Linked DNA regions of Sus scrofa. The protein of the gene in region 3 purifies or fractionates together with the protein of the main gene of each other region. This does not show direct contact. Links are inferred from orthologs where the notes say so. Each region holds a gene or a part of one and is shown on either strand. Other genes may lie near its edges.

Evidence for each region. Proteins that work in one complex are often made in the same cells at the same time.
Region 1: the proteins of DYRK1B (region 3) and PTGES3 purify together in Homo sapiens (affinity purification with mass spectrometry; 3 studies listed by BioGRID and IntAct, with this or other methods). This does not show direct contact. The link is inferred for Sus scrofa from reciprocal best matches to the Homo sapiens genes DYRK1B and PTGES3.
Region 2: the proteins of DYRK1B (region 3) and DCAF7 purify together in Homo sapiens (affinity purification with mass spectrometry; 10 studies listed by BioGRID and IntAct, counting the BioPlex papers as one, with this or other methods). This does not show direct contact. The link is inferred for Sus scrofa from reciprocal best matches to the Homo sapiens genes DYRK1B and DCAF7.

What each region holds. Positions count from the first base shown.
Region 1 is NC_010447.5:22,016,773-22,024,770, forward strand, and holds the start of PTGES3 (prostaglandin E synthase 3), read right to left. Parts: upstream 4,928-7,998; 5' UTR 4,571-4,927; coding exon 4,569-4,570; exon of another isoform or gene 4,037-4,568; intron 1-4,036. UniProt on the Homo sapiens protein: Cytosolic prostaglandin synthase that catalyzes the oxidoreduction of prostaglandin endoperoxide H2 (PGH2) to prostaglandin E2 (PGE2).
Region 2 is NC_010454.4:15,346,070-15,354,079, forward strand, and holds the start of DCAF7 (DDB1- and CUL4-associated factor 7), read right to left. Parts: upstream 4,928-8,010; 5' UTR 4,676-4,927; coding exon 4,538-4,675; intron 1-4,537. UniProt on the Homo sapiens protein: Involved in craniofacial development. Acts upstream of the EDN1 pathway and is required for formation of the upper jaw equivalent, the palatoquadrate. The activity required for EDN1 pathway function differs between the first and second arches.
Region 3 is NC_010448.4:48,303,755-48,310,561, reverse strand, and holds the end of DYRK1B (dual specificity tyrosine-phosphorylation-regulated kinase 1B), read left to right. Parts: intron 1-237; coding exon 238-385; intron 386-1,397; coding exon 1,398-1,684; intron 1,685-2,421; coding exon 2,422-2,568; intron 2,569-2,648; coding exon 2,649-2,789; intron 2,790-3,090; coding exon 3,091-3,406; intron 3,407-3,778; coding exon 3,779-3,885; intron 3,886-3,980; coding exon 3,981-4,352; 3' UTR 4,353-4,725; downstream 4,726-6,807.

The sequences.
Region 1 (7,998 bases), on a different chromosome or scaffold from region 3:
GCCTTACTGTATTTGTTCAGAGATTTAGACTTTGAACTTTATTCAATAAACAAATACTTATTGAACATGTTGCCAGAAAACTATTCTGGATCTACAACTGTCAACAAAGCAGATAAGGAGTTACCACAGTGTCGTCTCTACAGTTAAAGGACAGAAGTTTGATCCTCTGCCTAGCACAGTGGGTTAAGGGATCCAATACTGCAACTGTGACTGGGATCTGATCCCTGGCCCCAGAACTCCATATGCTGCAGGGCAACAGCAAAAAAGGCAGATAAAAAAAATTTCTGCCCTTAAGCTTACATTCAAGATGTATGAAATTCAGCCCCAAATTCTTCTCCTAAAGGAACACTGGCATAAAAGGATCAGATCCACTGCTAGCCATGGCTTTTCATTTTTTTCTTTTTAGGGCATCACCACAGCATAAGAAGTTCCCAGGCTAGGACTTGATGCAGAGCTGCAGCTGCCAGCCCACACCACAGCTCACAGCAATGCTGGATCCTTAATTCACTGAGCAAGTGGAATTAAGCCTGCATCCTCACGGATAACAGTCAGGTTAATCCACTGAGACACAACGGGAACTCCAAGGCTTATCTCCTTTTTTGGGGCTTCTTTTTGTGGCATTTGAAAGTTTCCAGGCTAGGGGTCAAATTGGAGCTATAGTTGCTGGCCTACACCACAGCAACTTGGGATCCAAACCACACCTGCAACCTATGCCACAGCTCATGGCAAAGCTGGATCCTTAACCCACTGAGCTAGGCCAGTGATTGAACTCGTGTCCTTATGGATACTAGTCAGGTTTATTACCTCTGTGCAACAGGAACTCCTGGATTATCTTTCTTAACATATAAATATGTAATGAATCATTATGTTTTTTAGTTATCAGTACTCTGAAAGATACCTGATCTATAATTATGTCCTTAATGTCTACATTACGATATTCTCTAATAGTATACAACCTCATATACTATATTCAGAAGTTATCAACAATAGTCCCTTTATGAATTTATTGTTTTTCTTAACCCACAGTGGGAACTCCTAAACTCTAAGAATAGTAGTCAGAAGACTACTAGAGCTTTAATAATGGCATTATGCATCCCCTACATTCAGGAAAAACTAAACATTTCTAACAAGTAAAAGATTCTTTAAGACTAGTTTCACTCATCTTTTATACATCTCAAAAAAAATTTTTTTTTCTGGCCTTTTCTAGGGCTGTACCTGAGGCATACGGAGGTTCCCAGGCTAGGGGTCTAATCAGAGATATAGCCACCAGCCTACGCCACAGCCACAGCCACATGGGATCCAAGCCACGTCTGCAACCTACACCACAGCTCGCAGCAACACCAGATCCTTAACCACTGAGCAAGGCCAGGGACCAAACCCGCAACCACTGTGCCACGACAGGAACTCCTATCTCAAAGTTTTTTTTTTCCTTTCATTACAGCTGGTTTACAGTGTTCTGTCAATATTCTACTCTACAGTAAGGTGACCCAGCCACACATCCATGTATACATGTTCATTTCTCACATTATCACGCTCTATCATAAGTGACTAGCTACATTTCCCAATGCTATACAGCAAGATCTCATTGCTTATCCATTCCAAAGGCAATAGTTTGCATCTATTAACCCCAAATTCCCAGTCTATCCCAATCCCTCCCCCTTGGCAACCACAAGTTTGTTCTCCCTGTCCATGATTTTCTTTTCTGTGGACAGGTTCGTTTATGCTATATATTAGATTCCAGATATAAGTGATATTATATGGTATTTGACTTTCTCTTTCTGACTTACTTCACTTAGTAAAGCAAAGTAAGATTTTAACCAATGCCAGCGATGCTGTTTGTCTCTGACCATTCGTTACTTTAAGTACAAGATACCAAAAAGAATGACCTCAAATAGCTCATAACCATTTTATCTTACATCTCGTGTTATTAGATAAATAGGTCCAACCTAAAATTAGAGTTAAAATAACTAAAAAAAAAAAAAAAAAGAAAGGAGATAAAGTAGCACCCCCTGCAGGGGATTTGAGCTGGTCTTAAAAGGAGCAGTCCTAAAATCCCAGCCTTCTCCAGTTGAGAGAGCTTTTATGCAAACTATTGGACAAAACTTAAAAACTTGATTAAAAGAAATCTACCTAGAAAATCATGACTGAAGAGCAATCACATGATAAAAAAATACACTCTAAAACCTTCAAGATGTCCAGCATAAAAGTCTCTCCAGGAGTTCCCAGCCTTGCCCAGGAGAAACGAATCCGACTAGGAACCATGAGGTTGCAGATTCGATCCCTGGCCTCACTCAGTGGGTTAAGGACATGGCATTGCCATGAGCTGTGTGGTGTAGGCAGCAGACCAGGCTCAGGCCTGGCATTTGCTATGGCTGTGGCGTAGGCCAGCATCTGTAACTGATTCAACCCCTAGCCTGGTAACCTCCAGATGCCACAGGTGCAGCCTTAAAAAGCAAAAAGTCTCTCCACAGCTAAAAAAAAAGTTTATAGAACCCAACAAAATGAATCTTCATCAGCCAGATTCTCTCTAGAGCTGGATGACCCATTAGAAGTCTTTTCCGGAGTCCCCGCTGTAGCTCAGTGGTTAACGAACCCGAGACTAGGAACCATGAGGTTGCGGGTTCAATCCCTGGCCTTGCTCAGTGGGTTAAGGATCCAGCGTTGCTGTGAGCTGTGGTGTAGGGTGCAGACGCAGCTCAGATCCCGAGTTGCTGTGGCCCTGATGTAGGCTGGCAGCTACAGCTCTAATTAGGCCCCTAGCCTGTGAACCTCTATATGCTTGGGGTGCGGCCCTAGAAAAGACAACAACAAAAATAAAAGTCTTCTCCAGCTCAAGTAACTGACTGGTAATATTCATCTTGTAAATTCATTCAGTCATTAATTAATAAGATCCCCTAAAGAATTTGCAAGATGTCATATATTGACTAAACAGAGTAAAATTTACCTGGTCTCTTCAAAACACTCATTTTCAAAATAGCATTCTTCTAATTATAGATTGCTTTTTGGAATACTGATTGTTAGACTTTTCATTGAGTTCTTTATATAACTTAACATTTCTTACCTATTTACCAATTCTACATGATCTCTGAAAAGTGTTTCTACTTCAAACCGTATTAAACATGTTATCTCTTCATATAAAGATATTTCTTGTTCCGCTACATTAGTTTACTAAAAGTTGGTAATGCTTTATCTCCAGATTCATTTTCTCACAAATGACAATCCTGCTACATTATTTGGAATAGAAATTTCAAAAAGAAAAGTACAAGTTCTTTTACACAGATTAAAGTCTTCTATTACATACCACTTCTTGGGATGGGGGAAATCCTTCCAAAATTCTAACATGTCATTTTACAGTAATACATGCATTCTTCTCAAACCTTCTTCTCCATCAATTGGCTACAGTGTATCCTTATTCATTTAGACATCTAATTCAATATACTCACCACAAATATCACCATTTTACTAGGTAAACCCTTGAAAATCCATTACTTTTTATAGAAATAAAAATTCTTCCCCTCAATTGATCTCCATAGGTAACTTTCAGGAGTACGTGGTACCAAAAAACTGTAAAATAGGCAGTTCTCACATCTGAAAAGGTAAGGCTTTTCCTGAAAAGAATGTAAAGCTGGGAATGGCAATGCAAGAGACCGCACTCGGTTAAAATGTTTTCCTTTATCATAAAACTAAGACTTTTAAAAGATCTGAAATTACCCCCACGTAAACAAACTTAAGGCAACAAAAAGGCAATTACCTACCTGTTTCATCCTTAAATTAAAATAGGATAACGAAACCTCACCTAAAGTTTCACAGAAAATATCCCTAAGTATCTTTCAACTCTAACAAGTGCAGAACTCCCTGCTCAATTGTAAAGCCTCGCTACCAGGGAAACGGCTGAGTTTTGGCAACCTCCACTCCCTTCGCGAGACTGAGTTAAGAAGAAGCCTGGAAACACCCATACTCTGGCAATCACGACACCGAGAGGGAAGTAAGTTGCGGCGACAGCATGGCCTCCCTCCCTCCAGTTGCCTAGCAGTACCTGTCGCTCGCAGTGGAGGGCCGCGTGGTGCCTTACGAAGAGCACCAGCAGCTGTGGGGTAGGACCCACCGCAGGTGCACTTGTCCCCGGGCCTGGTCCCAGCATCACACAGCGGCAGAAGCAGACCTAGGTCGCTAGGAGCGGAGTGGCAGCCCACGAGGGTCCACGCCTCCGAGGCGCCCGCGTGGCCAAAAGCTCACAGGAGATTAAGGCCTAAGGCTAAGTTACGAAGAGTTGGGAGCAGCCCTCACTGCCGAAGGGGGAAAGTGGGGTTTCCGGCACGGGGAAGCAAAGGGAAGGTTTAGAGATGGGGGAAGCGGACATCTGGAGGAAAAATGTCCTCCACCCGCCAACGGTAACCGGAACAAGGATACTGGACCTCCCACCCCCAAGCAAGAACGAATGCTACCGAGGGGGAAAAAGCCGAGGGAGCCGAAAGCGGGGGAGGGGAAGGGATGGCTTCCCGGCACCCCCCCGCGCGGCCTCGGCCTCCCTCCAGGGCGACCTTCCCTGGGTGGCGTGTCGCACTCACATCGTGAACGGGGCAAGGGGACGGGCGAACGGGTGGGCGGGCCTCTCCGGCGGCAGCTGGTAGGCAGTCGACTCCTCTCCGGTGGCGACTCTGGCGTCCTCTCCCCGATTGCGGCCTCTTTTCGCTTTTCCCTCAAGCGACGGCGGCGGCGCGGCGGGCTAGACCTGGGTTCCCAGAATGCACCGCGCGGGCAGAGCGACTCCTCCGGTCGGGGAGAAAAGGAAAGTGTAGGAAAAGGGGCGCGAGAACGGAGAATGAACGTGCGTGCGTGCGAGCGAGGGGTGGTGAGGCCGGGCGGCGGCTGGTGACGCAGCAAAATGCCCGGGCCCAGCCGCCGCGCGTGCGCACTCTTTGTTTTCGGGCTCCTGCGCGGCTTTCTAGAGATATCTACGGAAAGGGCGGGGCTTCCCAGCTCCTTCGCGATCCTTCCCGGGGCTGGCCCCGCCCCACGTCGGCTGCCTCCGGCTCGACTGGTTCCCGCCGCTTTGCCCGCTCCCCCCTCCTCGCGGTGGAAACCGTTGGTCGCCTAACCGCCCTGCCACGCGCCTTGGGCGATCTCCCCGAGAAACTGTCGCGTTAACCGAGGGAGGAAGGCCGAGGCGGATGGACGCAGAGTCTGGAGGCTTGAAAAGTGAAATAGGGGATCGGTTACTTGAGGGAGTACATCGGCTCACTGAGAAAACAGTCTACGGCAAAAAGATGGGCAAAGCCTCCGCTGGTGATATTTGAGGGAAAGGGCTAACCTGAGTCACAGGCCTGGGTCCTCCTCGCCGTCTTTCTGAGGGGTGGAGAACCTGTCCAGGGGCCGCGGAAATTCGAGGTCTTTGGCTGACCGGCATTCGCACCTGCTTTGATGCGAGAGGAAAGTTATTAAATGAGTCTAAGTTTGCGGGAATGGAGAGACCAGGACACTTGGAGTCTCCAGGCTGATCCTGTAGGGGAGGGGGGAAACCTCATCTTTTTTCAGCTGTTACCTGGTTAGGTGCTAATGGGTGTTACTAACCAAGAGAATCAAAATGGTAACTTGTCCACTCTAGAAATCGCTTAGCCGGGAAGTAAGGGAGAAATACATCAATACGCTGCTTGTTAGGACACAGAGGAGGTTTAAGGAAAGTGCCGTAAGACATTTTGGAGAGTGTTTGGAAGCTTCATATGCAGCATTAATTAGTGTCTATGCTATGCAAGGCAGGTGTTGGGAACTACAGACATTGGACCCTAGGCTCCAATCCTGTTAAAGAAAGTTAAACCCCAGCTCTCAAATACTGTGATTCTGGAGTTCCATTGTGGCTCAGCAATAACAAACTGGATTATCCATGAGGATGCGGGTTCGATCCTTAGCCTCAGTGGGTTAAGGGTGGGGAGCTGCCATCAGCTGTGGTGTAGGTTGCAGATTGCGGCTCAGATCTGGCCTTGCTGTGGCTGTGGGTAGGCCAGCAACTACAGCTCTGATTTGACCCCTAGCCTGGCAGCTTCCATATACTGCCCACGTAGCCCTTTAAAAAAAAAAAAAAAAAAAATACTGTCATTCTAAGGAGCCTACTGCTTATTTCGGAAAACAAAATACATCAAGATGTTTGAGTCTGGAGTTCCTTTCCTGGCTCAGCAGAAACGAACTGGATTAGGATCCATGTGGATGCGAGTTTGATCCTTGACCTTGCTCAGTGGGTTAAGGATCCAGCTTTGCGGTCAGCTGGGGTGTAGGTTGCAGACAAGGCTCAGACCCCAAGTTGCAGTGGTGTGGTGAAGGCCAGCAGCTACAACTCCAATTCCACTGGTAGCCTCTTTTTAGGGCTGCTCCCGCGGCATATGGAGGTTCCCAGACTAGAGGTTGAAATCTGAGCTGCAGCTGCCCGGCCTACAGCACAGCCATAGTAACGCCAGATCCTTAACCCACTGAGTGAGGCCAGGGATAGAACCTGCTTCCTCATGGATACTAGACAGGTTCGTTTCTGCTGAGCCACTATGGGAACTCTGATTTTCTTTTTCAACCCTTTAAAAATGTAAAAATCATTCTTGAAGGCCATGCAAAGATTAGTGGTTGCAGAAAGTTTACCAATCTCTGACCTAGGTAATCCAGAGTGTAGAGGGAAGGTAGGTCATAAATAATGGTGGCACTAATTATCAGGCTAATTGTTTTTGACTTATTTCTATGACAGTGGGAAGCTATTGAAGTTTTTTTGAATGGGAGTAACATTTGTGTTCTAAAAAGATTAATTTGGCAACAACATAAGATGAACTGAAAATGGAACTGAATTGAAGATAGGCATTTAAAAGTCTGCAACCTGAAAAAACTGGCAATTTCCCCTATCAAGTGCTGTGAGAAAAACTGCCTTTCACACAAGAAATTTCTGAAAATTCAAATCCATTGCATCATAATTTATAGTTTATTTACTACTCCCATTGGATATATTTCAAAGGATTTCATGTTAGTGTAGCTCTGGAAGTGGCTCCTCAGAAGTTTCACAGATAACTTGTAATCTGGTTTTATCCATGCCTTTAATCTCATCCATTAGCTGATGGGAGCTAACTGTATCAGATCTCTTTTTCAAATTCATCAAAAAGTTCTGTATCCAGTAGGGAGCAAAATCTAGATTCAAACATGTATGGTTAGGGTTTTGGGGAGAGAAGTCTGCCACCTGAATTGGCAGAAAGAAAGTACTTGGTATTAGATTCATTTCACAACTTTAATTTTTTTTGGGGGGGGCTGCACTCCGGCATATGGAAGTTCCCAGGCCAGGGATCAAATCTGAGCCGCAGCTGGAACCTACACCAGAGTTGTGGCAATGACAGATCCTTAATGACAGATCCACAGTGGGAACGCCAGACAAATTTAATCTTAACAGTTTCCTGAGAGAGAAATTCCTAGGCCTATTTCAAAAACTAATAAAAAGGAACAAAGAAACAATTTGTCAGGTTTTTTTTTCCCCCCTTTTTTGGCCTCTCTGAGGTATATGGAGTTCCCTGGCCAGGGATCAGATCTGAACTTCTGTTGCTATCTAGGCTACAGCTGCAGCAACGCCAGATCCTTAACCCATTGTGCTGAGCCAGGGATTGAACCTGTGTCTCAGTGCTCCCAGGAGGCTGCTGATCCCATTGCAATACAACAGGAACTCCAACGATTTGTCAGTTTTGTTTTTTGGGTTTTTTTTTTTCTTTTTAGGGCCGCACCCATGGCATACAGAAGTTCCCAGGCTAGGGATCGAATTGGAGCCACAGCTCCTGGCCTATGCCACAGCCACAGTAAAGCCAGATCCAAGATAATGTCTGCAACCTACACCACAGCTCATGGCAATGCCAGATCCTTAACCCACTGAATGAGGCCAGGGATAGAACCTGAAACCTCATGGTTCCTAGTCGGGTTGTTTCTGCTTCGCCACAACGGGAACTCCAATTTGTCAGTTTTAATTGTAGCATACACCGTCTCCCTGAG
Region 2 (8,010 bases), on a different chromosome or scaffold from region 3:
CTCCTTGGTGATATCTCAACTACGGGTTCAGCAGCGAAGACGTTTAAGTAGAAACAGCTAACACTGCTAAATCGCTTCCTATGTGCCAGGCAGAGTTCCTAACTCCATTACATAGAGGAACTCATTTGACCTTCCTTAGAACCCTCCTTTTACAGATGAGGAAACTGAGGCACAGAGTTTCACTTGCCCAAGGCCACACAAAACTGAAAACTGGTAGGACCAAAATTTCAACTCAGGCTACCTCAAAGGGGCCCTCTGGTAACTGAGCTTTTCCATGGGCCAGAAGGGCAGAATCAATGTTGGGCTCATGAAGATGCAAAAAGCATTCCCGCCTTTGGTCAGAGATGCGAAGGTAACTCCAGGGTGATGGTCTTAGAGGGCCCCTGGGACCACCTGTGTCTGAATCACCTGCGTGTCTGTGAACGTCAGGAGTGAAGCCCAGGAATGTGCAAGTCTCTCAGAGGACCCACTAAAATTTAGAAAACCACTGCTCCAACACCAGTGCTGTTCTAATCCCCAGCCGAGACCACAAAAAAAAGGACAGAAAACACAATTACCAAGAGTGGGACTCTTTATTCCAGGTGTAGTTGATAGAATCTAATTCTTTTCTTTGCAACAATTCCCAAATGTATTCAGATGATATAACACCTGGAAGTCAAGTTGTTCTTGAAATGCTAACATTTTTAATTCTATCCAACTGCAAATAATTTCACTACAGGAAAAGAGTAATATAATTTTTTTTTTTTTTTTTGCCTTTTCTAGGGCCACTTCCCGTGGCATATGGAGGTCCCCAGGCTAGGGGTCTAATTGGAACTGTAGCCACCGCCCTACACCAGAGCCACAGCAACACGGGATCCAAGCCACGTCTGCGACCTACACCACAGCTCATGGCAACGCTGGATCCTTAACCCACTGAGCAAGGCCAGGAATCAAACCCGCAACCTCATGGTTCCTAGTCGGATTTGTTAACCACTGCACCACGACAGGAACTCCTTTTTTTTTCTGGTCTTTTTAGGGCCGAACCTGCAGCATATGGAGGTCCCCAGGCGAGGGGTTGAATCGGAGCTGTAGATGCTAGCCTACACCACAGCCACAGTAACAGGATCTGAGCCGCATCTGAGACCTACACCACAGCTCATGGCAATGCCAGATCCTTAACCCCCTGCCTGAGTGAGGCCAGGGATAGAACCCAAGTCCTCGCGGATACTAGCCAGATTTGTTACCCTTGAGCCACAACAGGAACTCCAAGGTTTGAGAATTTTAACCAATAATTTTTACTTTTTTTTTTTTTTTTGGTCTTTTTAGGGCTGTATCAGGCTAGGGGTCCAATTGGAGCTGTAGCCACCGGCCTATGCCAAAGCCACAGCAACGCCAGATCCGAGCCACCTCTGCAATCTATACCACGTCTCACGGCAAAGCCAGATCCTTAACCCACTGAGCAAGGCCAGGGATCCAACCCACAACCTCATGGTTCCTAGTTGGATTCGTTTCCACTGTACCACGAGGGGAACTCCTAACCAATAATTTTTAAATTCCTCTAAATTATGAACTCTTGCACCTTCTTGGCAAAGTTTCTCCAAAACTGAGCTTGATAAAGTGAGATTTACTGGCCACCAGCTCCTACACACAAATCCTCTACAGCGGGGTTTCTCATCTTAATGTTGACGAAGATGAGTTGGAAAATCACTTTTATATTTTCACAACCTCTAGCTGAAATGTAGCATTTCCTTCCATTATAAATGGAGGCAGCTACTCACAGCAGCATCCATATCTGATTTGTCACCAATAGAAATCACCGATGTTTTTCCTATCACATTACAGTGAATATACTGAGATGCTGTTTACCCTTATGGGTACTTCAAAATTAATGATTAAAATGGTTGATGTGATTTAATGAGTTAATTTAAAAGTACGCATTACCACTTAAAAAAAATTTTTTTTCAGAACTGCCATGTTTCAATCCCTTATTTACATGGGGGAAACTGAGACAGGACAGTCAGAAGCCAGTTCCCTTAATAAAAAGAGCCCAAACCACTAGCCCAGGACAGACAAGCTCTCCTGCCCACTGCTTCCCTTAGCAGTATATTCACTAAACCTCTTCTAACCTACTTCTAAAAAAAATAAATAGTTTTGCCTTTTGCTATGCTCACGGCACTCGAAAGTTCTAGGGCCAGGGATCAGATTGAACCAGAGCCATAGCAGCAACTCAAGGCGATGCAGTGACGACACCGGATCCTTAACCCGCTGCACCATGAGAAAACTCCAAAAAATGTTTTTAGTAACTATGAGTCATATGGTTGGTTTCCTTTGTAATCCCATGTATTTTATGCATTTGAAAACATAATTATGAACAGAGGTCTATTGGCTTCCGACTGCCAAAGCTGTCCATCAAACACATATACACACACAAGAACTCTGACCTGGGGCAGGGGACACAAAAACCATTTTAAGACACCACGTTGCCCACATTACGCAAGTGAGTTAAGACAGAGGTAACTGCTTATTCTATTACTACTGGGATTATCAATTAGCATTTTACGACTAAAACCACACTGCCTGCGTGCCTGGCACAAAGAAGGAGCTCCATAATTGAAAGGATAAATTTGGGGGCAGAGTTCCTGCAACCAAAGTTTGACACCAATTACTCCACTGATTCTACCAGCAGCCTAACTGTGGCTTGGTTTCTCATCTCTTAGAAATGGGGCTGCTACTGCTTACCTAAATTGACCTTGCAAGAAAAAAAAATCCATCCGTCTGTGTGAAAAGACTCAAGCCCTTTGAAAGATGTATTTTACTACCACCCCCCCTTTGTTTAAACATGTATTCTTAAACAACAGTTCTAGTGCTCTCAACTTTACTAATTCAGTTTACACATCAGGACCCTGAATTTCACTTTAGCAGCTCTGCGGTCCACTATGTGCCATAAGGAAGAAAGAGGCTCCAGAAGAAAAATAAAGCTATGTCTTTTCAGGACTCTCTGGTTTCTGTGGGAAATCGTGGACTCCGAGATCAGTGCATACTTTCAGGGATTTGTTTGTAAAGTGTGTATGTGGGATGTCTGGGCAACAAGAGTCCATTGTTCTCATCAATTTCTCAAAAAGGATTACAAAAAATTTAAGACCTAATTTTTTTGGGGGGAGGGAAGGCATACATACAGCATATGGAAGTTCCCAGGCCAGGGGTCAAATTGGAGCTGCAGCTGCCGGCCTACACCACAGCTCTAGCAACTTGGGATCCAAGCTGTGTCTGTGACCTACACCACAGCTCCTGGCAACGCCAGACCCTTAACCCACTGACCAAGGCCAGGGATCCAACCAGCCTCCTCATGGATCCTAGTCGGGTCGTCACTGCTGAGCCACAACCAGAACTCCTTAAGATCTAATTCTAAGATGTGCTCCTGAAAACCTGCAAACAAAATTACAATGCTCAAATGTTTTCTAAAGGACTTCTTTCCTACAACAAACTGTGGGTCAGAAATAATAAAACTTACCTATGCAGTGTCCCACAGCTAATCAGTGGACTAGACAAGGCCTAATCCTAGAGCACCTGGCCTTTTCCCCTGCACCATGCCTCTGCCCACAATTTATTCTTAAATTAGACTGTTCCTGGTGTCAAGCAGGTGTACAGGTTTTAAACACCACTAAGCATGGCTCTCAGTTGCTCTGATCACTATCAGTCAATCACAACGCTTACTCTAATACAATAAATGGCAAACTACGGAGTAATGGAAAGAAAATTCTTTCCACTAACTTATTCAACTTCCAAAACTAAATTTATGTGTCACTGCCAGCTTCAAGCTTCCTCCTATTAACCGCGCTTCTAAAAAGGATTCTCAAATTGTGGATGTCCAGAAAGACTTACTTCTACTCCAGGTTACTTGTCTGTATCAGCATGAAAGATGCCAAGAAAACAAATGGCAAGCATCACCCTTTTCTATGCAGAAGACAATAGCCATTGGCAAGATTTCCAAAAAGAGATAGCTTTGAAGAGGACGAATATGAGGCAGCAATAGCAATGGCAATCCCGGCAGAAAGGCTGGGGAAATCCAGGGAACAGGGGGCGGTGAAACCTGCTAAACAGTCCTAATAGAAATCTAGTGTGGCCAGGGGAGAAGGACCACGGGGCTCCAGCATCTTCTTCGCAGCCATCACTCCCTCATCCCTCCTCCGCCCCCCAACTGAAGCTGCAGGAGAGGAGGGGATAGGCGTGATAAACGGCACAGCTCTGCGCTGCAAACTTGGGTTTGAGACCTGTTTCCGTCACGCAATAGCTGTCTGACTGGGGCAAGTCACAACACGGTGCCTCAGTTCCCCCATCGGTAAAATGCGGGTAACTACACTCCTGACTACCCAGGAATGCTGCAAGGATTAAATGAGACGAGAGCGAAACCCTCTGCACAGGGCCAGACACAGAGGAACCGCTCCGTGGCGCTAAGGCAGGTCCGCAGGAGGGTCCTGGGGTCTGAGCTCCGGCCGGGAAAGGGCGCTCCAGGTGCCCGCGTCCCTCTAGCTGGGTTCCGAGCCCCTGCCCGGCCCACCTTGTTGTTGTACTCCTCCACGAAGCTGCCCAGCGCCAGGCGAAAGCGCTTGTCGGGCCGCACGCTCCAGTTCATGGCGTAGACGGTCCAGGGCGCTTCATACTTGTAGATCTCCTTCCGTTTGCCGTGCAGGGACATAGTGGCGGCGGCGGGGCCGCAGTGCGGGCCGGGACGGCAGCGAGCTGCGGCGGGCGGGGCGCGAATCGGGCAGGGAGTCAGGCCTGGGACGGAGGGGTCCGAAGGGAGGCGGGGCGGGGGCGGGTACGGACAGCCTAGCCCGGAAGCGGGGCCGCTGCTACAGACAACGACAGCCGAGCCCGACCCCCACTTTCAAACCTGCTTCGGCTCGGACAACAACCACCTTCCGTTTGAGACCCCGCCCCACCCTCTAGAACGGAAGCCACGCGACCCCCTCAGCGGCGCCGGCCGTTGGCTACCTGACACGTCCTTTCGAACGGCTCCTTCTCCTCATTGGCTAGTGTACCCGTAGCTTCTGAAACCTCCTTGCTATTGGTGCGTATGGTTGTCATTCCGATTACTTGCTCTGCCCAACTCCAGGGGGCAGGCGCTTTCACAGCCACAAAGGTCATTGGCTGACAAAGATGTCAGTCAGAGAGATAACGGCGCAGTGCGGGTGAATCGGGGTGTGGGCGGCTTAAAAGCTCGCGTACTGTGCAGCAGGCCTCCAAGTTCTAGGCCAAGTCTCTGAGAGTGAAACCTCTTACGTGACTGCTCTGACTTCCCCACTGCAGCTGCTATTCTGACCGGATTCTCCACGTTGGCGAGTGAAAATGAAAAGTCTGCCTTACGAGAGGGCCTGCTGCGTTTCGCGGCACTGAGCTCCCGGGCCTTGCGGACGGGCCTGCGCCGAAGGGAAACCCCTTTATTTCCCTGCTTCGCCAACGCCTCCTTTAAATTGGAATGTTGTTCTCCCAGCGTACCAAGGGCAGACGGCGGACACGCCGCTCTACTCAGGACCAGGCCAGCTTCAGTCAACCTTTCCTGGCCATTCTAGAAGTGCTTGGAATTAGAGGATTGGTCTTCAGCAGGCAGCAACCCCGCCAGCGTGGCTGTCAGCTTCTGTTTCCATCTTTTCCCACGAGCGTCCCAAGGCAAATGCTAATCTAGCCTTAAATATATAAGTGTCTTGAATTTGAAATGGGGAAGGGTCAGAATCTAGGTAACATCTCTTTATAATTTAAATGGTTTCCAATAATTTGCTTTCAACAAAACTAAGCAAAAAATTGTATTGAATTGTTAGATAATATATCATTAAATATAGTATTTAGTGGAGTTCCTGTTGTGGCTCAATGGAAACAAATCTGACTAGTATCCATGAGGACGCAGGTTCGATCCCTGCCCTCGCTCAGTGGGTTAAGGATCCGACATTGCCATGAGCTGTGGTGTAGGCCAGCGGCTACAGCTCTGATTCGATCCTTATCGTGGGAACCTCAATAGTTAGGGCACATGTGACCTTAAAAAGACTATATATATATAGTTTTTAGTGATAAAAGTGATTGTTAACAGAAAACTCAGAAAGAAGGACGCACGTTTGATCACCAGCCCCACACAGTGGGTTAAGGATCCAGGGTTGCCACAGCTGCAGTGTAGACGGCAACCGCAGCTGGGATCTGATCCCTGGCTAGGGAACTCCATATCCATGTGCTTCCAGGTGGCCAAAAAAAAAAAAAGAAAGAATTCAAAGAATTGAGTGACTGAGTGACACTGTTTAATGTAACAAACTCCTCACAGTCCTATCCACTTCCGTAGGTGAACAAGTTTTCTGTGTTTATGTCTTCCTCTAATAAAAAAATAATATTCATTCACATACATGGACTAATTGAGAGGAAAATACCCTCTCTTAAGAGCTGTATTTCCAGTAAAATTTTAGTTTCTATAAAAATTTAAATAGAGAAGAGTTCCCGTTGTGGCTCAGTGGTTAACGAATCCGACTAGGAACCATGAGGTTGCGGGTTCTATCCCTGGCCTTGCTCAGTGGGTTAAGGATCGGGCGTTGCCGTGAGCTGTGGTGTAGGTCGCAGACATGGCTCGGATCCTGAGTTGCTGTGGCTCTGGTGTAGGCCGGCGGCTACATCTCTGATGAGACCCCTAGCCTGGGAACCTCCATATGCCACAGGAGCGGCCCTAGAAAAGGCAGAAAGACCAAAAATAAATAAATAAATAAATTTAAATAGAGATATTTATGTTGTTTTGAACAACTCAGTACTAATAAGTGTAACCCTTAAAGTCTTAGGTTAGAAACAATTTTAAAATTTCAATTTATATATATGTGTTACAAGTAGATATGATAAGGTTATTAGTAGTAGACTTTCAAGCATGGAAATAAATTACATGTTGGATAAACTGCGGATGGAATAGAGTGAAATGATGAGTACAAAAAAAGGAACGACGTTAAAGAAGAGCTTGTTCTGTTTTTAAAATGAATGATTTTGGCTTCTTAATCACTGTTACTGGGATTGAAATAAAGCAATATAAATTAAACATGTTATAAAAAGTCAATATTTACAATACTCTGTAAATTATGTCCTTTGCAACCCTTTAAGCACATCAGTAAAATACTTCAGATGTTAACTAAAAATGTGGGCTGGGGGATACATTTTCAAAATTTTTTTAGGGAGTACTGAAAAAGGACAGGACCAGTGACTTTTTGACAACAGTCCATTTCAGTGGGATACTTAACTGCATGTGTTCTCAAACAAGACCATCTGGGTTGAAATTATGTCTCCTTTGCCTATATTTTTGGAAAATACTCTATTTTAAATCAAAGTATAATTTACACATAGAAACTGTACATATTTTTACAACCTGAGACGCAGTCATGTAATCAGCAATTAGGTCAGGAACAGAACAACCCCCAAAAAGTTCCCCCTCTTGCTTGGGTAAAGTTCTTAGTCTCTCTCTGCTTCAGATTCATCACCTCTAAACTGGGGATGATAATACCGGCCCTGTAAGGTTGTTATAAAGAGTTGATGAACTCGTATCTGCAGCACAGTCAGCCTGGTGCCCACAAACACAGAGTGAGTGCCTTAAAAGTGCTGGCTGTGGTCACGATTCCCTATGGCCACCAAGCCGGCACTGCTCTGCTTCCCTTCACCCCAGTGTGCCTAAAAGCCCCCCGCAGCCACATTCAGGTCCCCAACACACAGCTCCTTGGGAGAAGGACTTGGAGGCGACCACAGCTGGCAGAGTTACAGCCCAATCAAGGACCCTCAGGAACGTTACACGCCCAGCCCGACATGAAATGTGCAGACTTTATTAGCTGTGAGATGCGGCACTGCCCACTAGGTCCCAAGGTCATCACAGAACCATCAGGGGCAGAGTGGCTGGGAGCTGGAGCTCTGTGCCCTGCTGAGTCCTCTGCAGAGGACACTTTCACCTCCAGCTGGTTCACAGGCTCTCAGCAGGAGGTCCTGACCAGCCATGGGGGCTGGGCTGTGTGGTGGGGAGAGTTC
Region 3 (6,807 bases):
GTGCCACGGTTTCTGTAAGAGCGCCTCAGTAACAGGCCCTCCACGTAAGGTTGTTGTGTTTTCTCATGTCCAGCGTTGACACGAGTGTCTGACGATTGGCGAGCTTGCAATTTGGAAGTATTAGTATCGTTGATGGTGGTATGGGTGGGTCTCCTTGGCTGGAGGGCGACGAGTGGTACCTGGCTCTGTGCCTCGCGCCCCTTTGCCCTCGTCTTGTGACGCGCCCTGCCCTGGCAGGTGGTGAAGGCCTATGACCATCAGACGCAGGAGCTGGTGGCCATCAAGATCATCAAGAACAAAAAGGCCTTCCTGAACCAGGCCCAGATCGAGCTGCGGCTGCTGGAGCTGATGAACCAGCATGACACAGAGATGAAGTACTACATAGGTGAGGCCCGCCGCAGGGCTGTGTGGGGATGAGCCACCCTCAGTACCCGAGGGGGCTGCTGTCCTCAGGGCAAGGTGTGGTTTGTAATCCCCCACATCAGTGATTTCTCCTGCCACCCTCACAGTTTTTACCCTATTCACATGACAAAGCTGGTCAAAGTTTATTGGGTGCTCTCTAAGGGTCAGGCTCTGTTGTAAGAACTTTACGTAAGTTTTCCACAGCCCCATGGGAAGGAGCATCATTGCCCACAGCTTGGAGATGAAGAAACAGAGGCACTTAGGTGCTGTCACTTGCGTAAGATCGAGGTGTTTGTACTCAGTAGAGCTATGATTTGGCCAGACAGTGGATTCCAGAGCCTCCACTCTAAACGCCTCTGCTGGGTTTTTTCCTCTTTCCTGTACTGCTTCCTCTTAAGAAAAAGAAAGTGGATTTAAGGAGTGTGTTTCTTTTAAAAGGAAAATGCACCTCCTTACAGTAAATGGAAAGCAAGTATCCTTTGTCACAAAATAAACAGAACTGAGACTAAAACAATGTTATAAAATTAAACGGGGAAGTGTAGGGATGGTGTTAAAGACCCATCAGCACCGAATGGAAACTTTCTCTTTGGTTTAAATCAGAAAATGTGAGAGACTTGAAAAGCGAGCTAACTTAACTTCCTGTGTGAATCAGATTATAGACATAAAAACATCCTCAAGAAACAAAACAAAAAACCTCCCAGGGGGTTCCGTGGTGGTTCAGCGGGTGAAACATTCAGCGTTGTCGCTGCAGCCACCGGGTCGCTGCTGTGGCACAGGCACAGGTTCGATCCCTGGCCAGGGAACTTGCTCCTGCCATGGACACAACCAAAAAAAATAAGTAAATGAAATAAAATCCTGGCTAGCAGAACAGTTTGGCCTGTGCTCCAGAAGCAGAGACAAAGATCTCTTTATTATTGGGTACCCCAGGCCGCCACCGGCCCTCTCTCAGCCTTAATTTCTTCTCCTTCGGCCCATTTTCGCCTCCTTGCCAACAGTGCACCTGAAGCGGCACTTCATGTTCCGGAACCACCTGTGCCTGGTGTTCGAGCTGCTTTCCTACAACCTGTACGACCTCCTGCGCAACACGCACTTCCGCGGCGTCTCACTGAACCTGACGCGGAAGCTGGCGCAGCAGCTCTGCACGGCGCTGCTCTTCCTGGCCACGCCTGAGCTCAGCATCATTCACTGCGACCTCAAGCCCGAGAACATCCTGCTCTGCAACCCCAAGCGCAGCGCCATCAAGATAGTGGACTTTGGCAGCTCCTGCCAGCTCGGCCAGCGGGTGCGGCCCGGGGCGGGGCTAGAGGTGTGGGTGTGGCCAGAGAGTGGGCGGGGCCGACGGAGGACCAGGACGGGATTGGATGGTCGCGTGCAGCGGCCCGAGGGTAGTGCTTGGGACAGGGTGTCTGCAAGTACAGAGGGTGGGGTCATTGGGTGAAGAGGGTGATGGAGAGGGCCTTGGGGTGTCCTGCCCGAAGGACAGCGAAGAGTGGAGCCCGAGAGGACGAAGCCCGGGGCCAGTTTTGAGGCTGCCAGAATGGGGGAGGGGGAGGAGGAGTTGGGTGCCTTTGAGCCTGGGGTGGCACTTTGCTCCGTTTGTTTACCTTGTGCTCTTAAAGCTGGGGAGGGAAGAGGACAGGGCTCGTCAGCTTTGCAGCTTCCGGTGAGAAGGCCTTTGAGAAGACGCTGGTAGTGGTTTGAAAGGGTCTGGATTGGAAGGGTGGGAAGAGGCTAGGTCTGCGGATTGCCGGATCCTGGTGACCCATAGGGGCTCAGGGTCAGGCCAGGGGATGGAGATCGGGATCAGACTAGGCCAGCAGAGACTCCTGAAACTGATGAGTGAGGTAGTGGCAGCAATCCTTGGGAGGTTGTGCTGAAAACATCAGGGTTTGAAGACCCCCATCCCCAGTTCTGGAGGCAGGAGGCTTGTGCACAGTCAGTCCTCCTAGGTTTGGGGGTGTCGGGGGTACCCACAGGGAAGGCTGGGACCTCTGACTGTTGCCCTTTCCCCTCCCCCAGATCTACCAGTACATCCAGAGCCGTTTCTACCGTTCGCCTGAGGTGCTCCTGGGCACACCCTATGACCTGGCCATTGACATGTGGTCCCTGGGCTGCATCCTGGTGGAGATGCACACCGGAGAGCCCCTCTTCAGTGGCTCCAATGAGGTGTGCTCCCGAGGAGGGGGTGTGCTGGAGGGGGTGGAGGCCTGGCTGGCTGATGACCCTGACTGCCCGCCTGCTCCCAGGTGGACCAGATGAACCGCATTGTGGAGGTGCTGGGCATCCCACCAGCCCCCATGCTGGACCAGGCACCCAAGGCTCGAAAGTACTTTGAGCGGCTGCCTGGGGGTGGCTGGACCCTGCGAAGGACAAAGGAACTCAGGAAGGTGCGGCCCCTGCCCCACGCCGCTCCTCCCACCCCGGCGGCCCCTCACTCTCTCACACTTGGGGCGCCCTCCCCCTCTCTCCCTGCTGCCTCTCCCTTGTGTCTTTCCCTTCCTTCCTCTGCCCTGTCTTTTCCTTCCTCCCCCGCCCACCCCATCTCTCCTCCTACCCACCCCACAGCTCTTCTTAGCTTCTCTCTTTCTACTTTCTCTCTTGTGCCTCTGTCTCCCCATGTGTGTCTCCCTGCCCCTCCTGCCCACTGACGGCCACTCTCTTGCCCCCCCTCCCACCTCCCCCTGCCAGGATTACCAGGGCCCCGGGACACGGCGGCTGCAGGAGGTGCTGGGCGTGCAGACGGGCGGGCCCGGGGGCCGGCGGGCGGGGGAGCCGGGCCACAGCCCCGCCGACTACCTCCGCTTCCAGGACCTGGTGCTGCGCATGCTGGAGTATGAGCCCGCCGCCCGCATCAGCCCACTGGGGGCTCTGCAGCATGGCTTCTTCCGCCGCACGGCTGATGAGGCCACCAACACGGGCCCGGCAGGCAGCAGTGCCTCCACGTCGCCCGCGCCCCTTGACACCTGCCCCTCCTCCAGCACCGCCAGCTCCATCTCCAGCTCTGGTGGGTGCTCAGTGCCAGATGGGGTAAAACAGGGGTGGGGGCACCTCTGGTTTGGGCTGATCTGGGCAGCCCTGCCACTGAGCCTTCACCTAGAGCTTTGAAACTGCATGACCCTGAAACTCCAGAAGGGGTGGGCAGGCGAGCTCAGACTGGCCCTGACCTGGTCTCTCAAACTGAGCTCAGTTCTGACTCTTTGATGCCCTAAACTGAACTCTGACCCCTGGTCTCAAAATTGGGCCTGATCCTCCCAGTGGGTACCGCCCCAAAGTCTTAGACCTGAGCCTGGGCTGTGAACCAGACTCTGCCACCTGAAGACCCAGCCGCCCCGTCTCCTCGCCTAAGCCCTCTCCTCTCCTTCCCTGGCACTTCCAGGAGGCTCCAGTGGCTCCTCCAGTGACAACCGGACCTACCGCTATAGCAACCGATATTGTGGGGGCCCTGGGCCCCCCATCACTGACTGTGAGATGAACAGCCCCCAGGTAATGGGGCCTTGGGGACTCTGGAGGTGGGTGGTGGAGTATCTGGGGCTTCAGGACCTAGGTCTCCATCACCCACTGTTCCTTTGCTCCTTTAGGTCCCACCCTCCCAGCCGCTGCGCCCCTGGGCAGGGGGTGATATGCCCCACAAGACACATCAGGCCCCTGCCTCCGCCTCATCACTGCCAGGGGCTGGGGCCCAGTTACCCCCCCAACCCCGATGCCTTGGTCGTCCCCCATCACCAACCTCGCCACCACCCCCAGAGCTAATGGATGTGAGCCTGGTGGGAGGCCCTCCGGACTGCTCCCCGCCTCACCCGGCACCTGCCCCCCAGCACCCGGCTGCCTCAGCCCTCCGGACTCGGATGACAGGAGGTCGTCCACCCCTCCCACCCCCTGATGACCCTGCCACTCTGGGGCCTCGCTTGGGCCTCCGTGGTGTACCCCAGAGCACGGCAGCCAGCTCATGACCCTGCCCCCTCCCTGGGGCCCCTCCTGAAGCCATACCCCCCATCTGGGGGCCCTGGGCTCCCATCCTCATCTTTCCCCTTGACTGGAATTGCTGCTACCCAGCCGGGGTGGGTGAGGCCTGCACTGATTGGGGCCTGGGGCAGGGGGTCAAGGAGAAGGGTTCAGGTGCACCCTCCCCACTAAGGACTGGACCCTTGGCCCCCTCTCCCCCTGTGTTTTCTATTTATTGTACCAAAGACAGTGGTGGTCCAGCGGGAGGGGGAGAGTCCCCTCACCCCAGGGCCCTAGGAGGGGGTGGGGGCAGGTAGGGGGAGATGGCCTTGCTCCTCCTCGCTGTACCCCCCAGTAAAGAGCTTTCTCACATGCCCCGCCTGAGCGTTTGCAAGGCCTTGGCTCCCCTCACCCAGCCCTCAGCGGTGTGATGGGGAACGTGTTTGGGGAAGGGGTGCTGGAAGAGCTTTCTCATGTGGAACGCGTCCCCTGGGGACGTTAGCAGTGCTGATGCCAGACCTGGGGCTGTAGGCGGTCTGGGGCTGTGGAATCCTAGACAGAGACCCTGGAAAGCATCCTAGCCCACATTGCCTTATCTAGGGTAAACTAAGAAGGATAAAGGCCCAGCTCTGGCCTGTCTCTGGGAAACATCAGGTTCTGCCCTAGAAAGCCAGGGCTTCCACAGAGTCGGCACAGGCGTGGCTGCTTTTGCCAGGTGTCTAGTGGGTGATGAGTGCTTGTGGTCGGCCTGATTGGAGCCACCTGGGGATTGACAGGCAGTTTACGCCCCCCCCCCCCACGTCCGGCCTTTGGAATCATTACGGAGCAAAACGTTTTGAGAGTTCTCAGGCCAAGGGATAATTACCGGGGTTCCAGGTAAGTGGGCCTGTTTCCATGATAATTTGGAAAACTCTCCCGACCCGCCAATTAAGAGCCGCCAGGTTCAAAAGGTACCGTCCTGACCATTGGGGAGCGGTGCTTCCGGGAAGAGGAATTCTGCTTGGCGATATTGTCCCGGTTTTCGTTGCGGGACTACAAAGGCCAGAATGCTTTTCGCCAACTTGCTTAGGGGCGGGTTCTCAGGCAGCCAATCGGAGTCAGCGGCAGCTGGGGTCCGGATACTTGAGGTGAGCTAGCGAGGAGGAGAGGGCCGTGATTGGGTGGTTTTGGCTTGACTGCGCAAGTGCTGAGGTCTCGAGTGCGGAAGGTGGGTTTGTGTCCCGGGAGCTTGCAAGTTCAGCGTTTGCGGAGCAGGAGGTAAGCGCGGAGGCTTGACGCGGCTCCACCTTGCGGGATATCACCAGCGGCTCTGTCTGGCCTGACTCGCGGGAAGCTCCGCTTCCTTCGGTAGGAGACGGGTAAAGGCCCCGTTACAGCCCTGCATGTGTTCGCTAACCGAGGCGGCGTGGAATGCGGAGAGAACCTAGGCCCGAAACCGGTAGGCAAACCTTGGGCGAGGAGGAGCAGTCTGAGACCTGATACGGAGGGATGTTGGGGGTGGCGGTGATGCAGTGGGACGACTCGCGCAGAGGCAGCAATGAAAAACACCTGGTGTGTGAATGAACTGCAGGTGATTGGGTGTCGGTGGAAATCTTGCAAGTGCTTTGTGATTAGATCGTGGAAGATTTTGGTCATTTAGAGAGCTGGAACTTTGCCCTGAAGGCAGTGAGGGGCCACGAGCGGATTTCCAAAAAGTAGGGGACATAGCCCAATTTGCTGCCCTGAGGGAATAGAGTGATGGGAAAGAAACTAGGGTCTGAGCGCTCAGAGTGGCAGCTGTGGCATGATCCTAGGCAAGAGATGTCAGGTATGGACCAGGGCAGGGGTCTGGGATGGGAGAGGAGTATGAGTGTGGATGGGAGAGACGGAGTTGACAGGCTGTGTGGGAGAGGGAGGCCAAGATAGGCGGAAACGGATCTGTCCACGTAGAACAGTGCCAGGCATATGGGAAATGCTTAATACAATTTTTGGAATGAACAGCTCTAGAAAGCAGGTATTATTATGATCTCCCTTTTGCAAATGAGGTTGCTGATAATAGAGAAAATTAAATAACTTGCCCAAGATCACATAGCTAGGAAGTGGAGAGCTTGGGGTGGGTGGGTGGGTGTGTGTGCGAACCATTGACTTAGCAAGGTGCAAGATGAGCCTCACGACATCAGCAGGAGTCAAATCTTGTCGGTCCTTAAGGAATTTGTGGTAAGCATGGAAATGCATACTCCCAATTTATATTTGTAGCCCAGACAATATAGCTGTTAATTTCTCTTCTCAGATATTTCCAATTATCTTGAGAATAATTTTAGCCAAATTGAACTGAGTCTTTCCCCCAAAACATGTTCCTCCCATGTTCTTCTCAGGAAATGCCACTCCATCCTTGTAGTTGTTCAGACCAAAGGCTTGGAGTTTGTCCTTGACTCCCCTCTTTGTCTTATACTCGTGTCAGATCCATCAGCAGATGACTTCAAG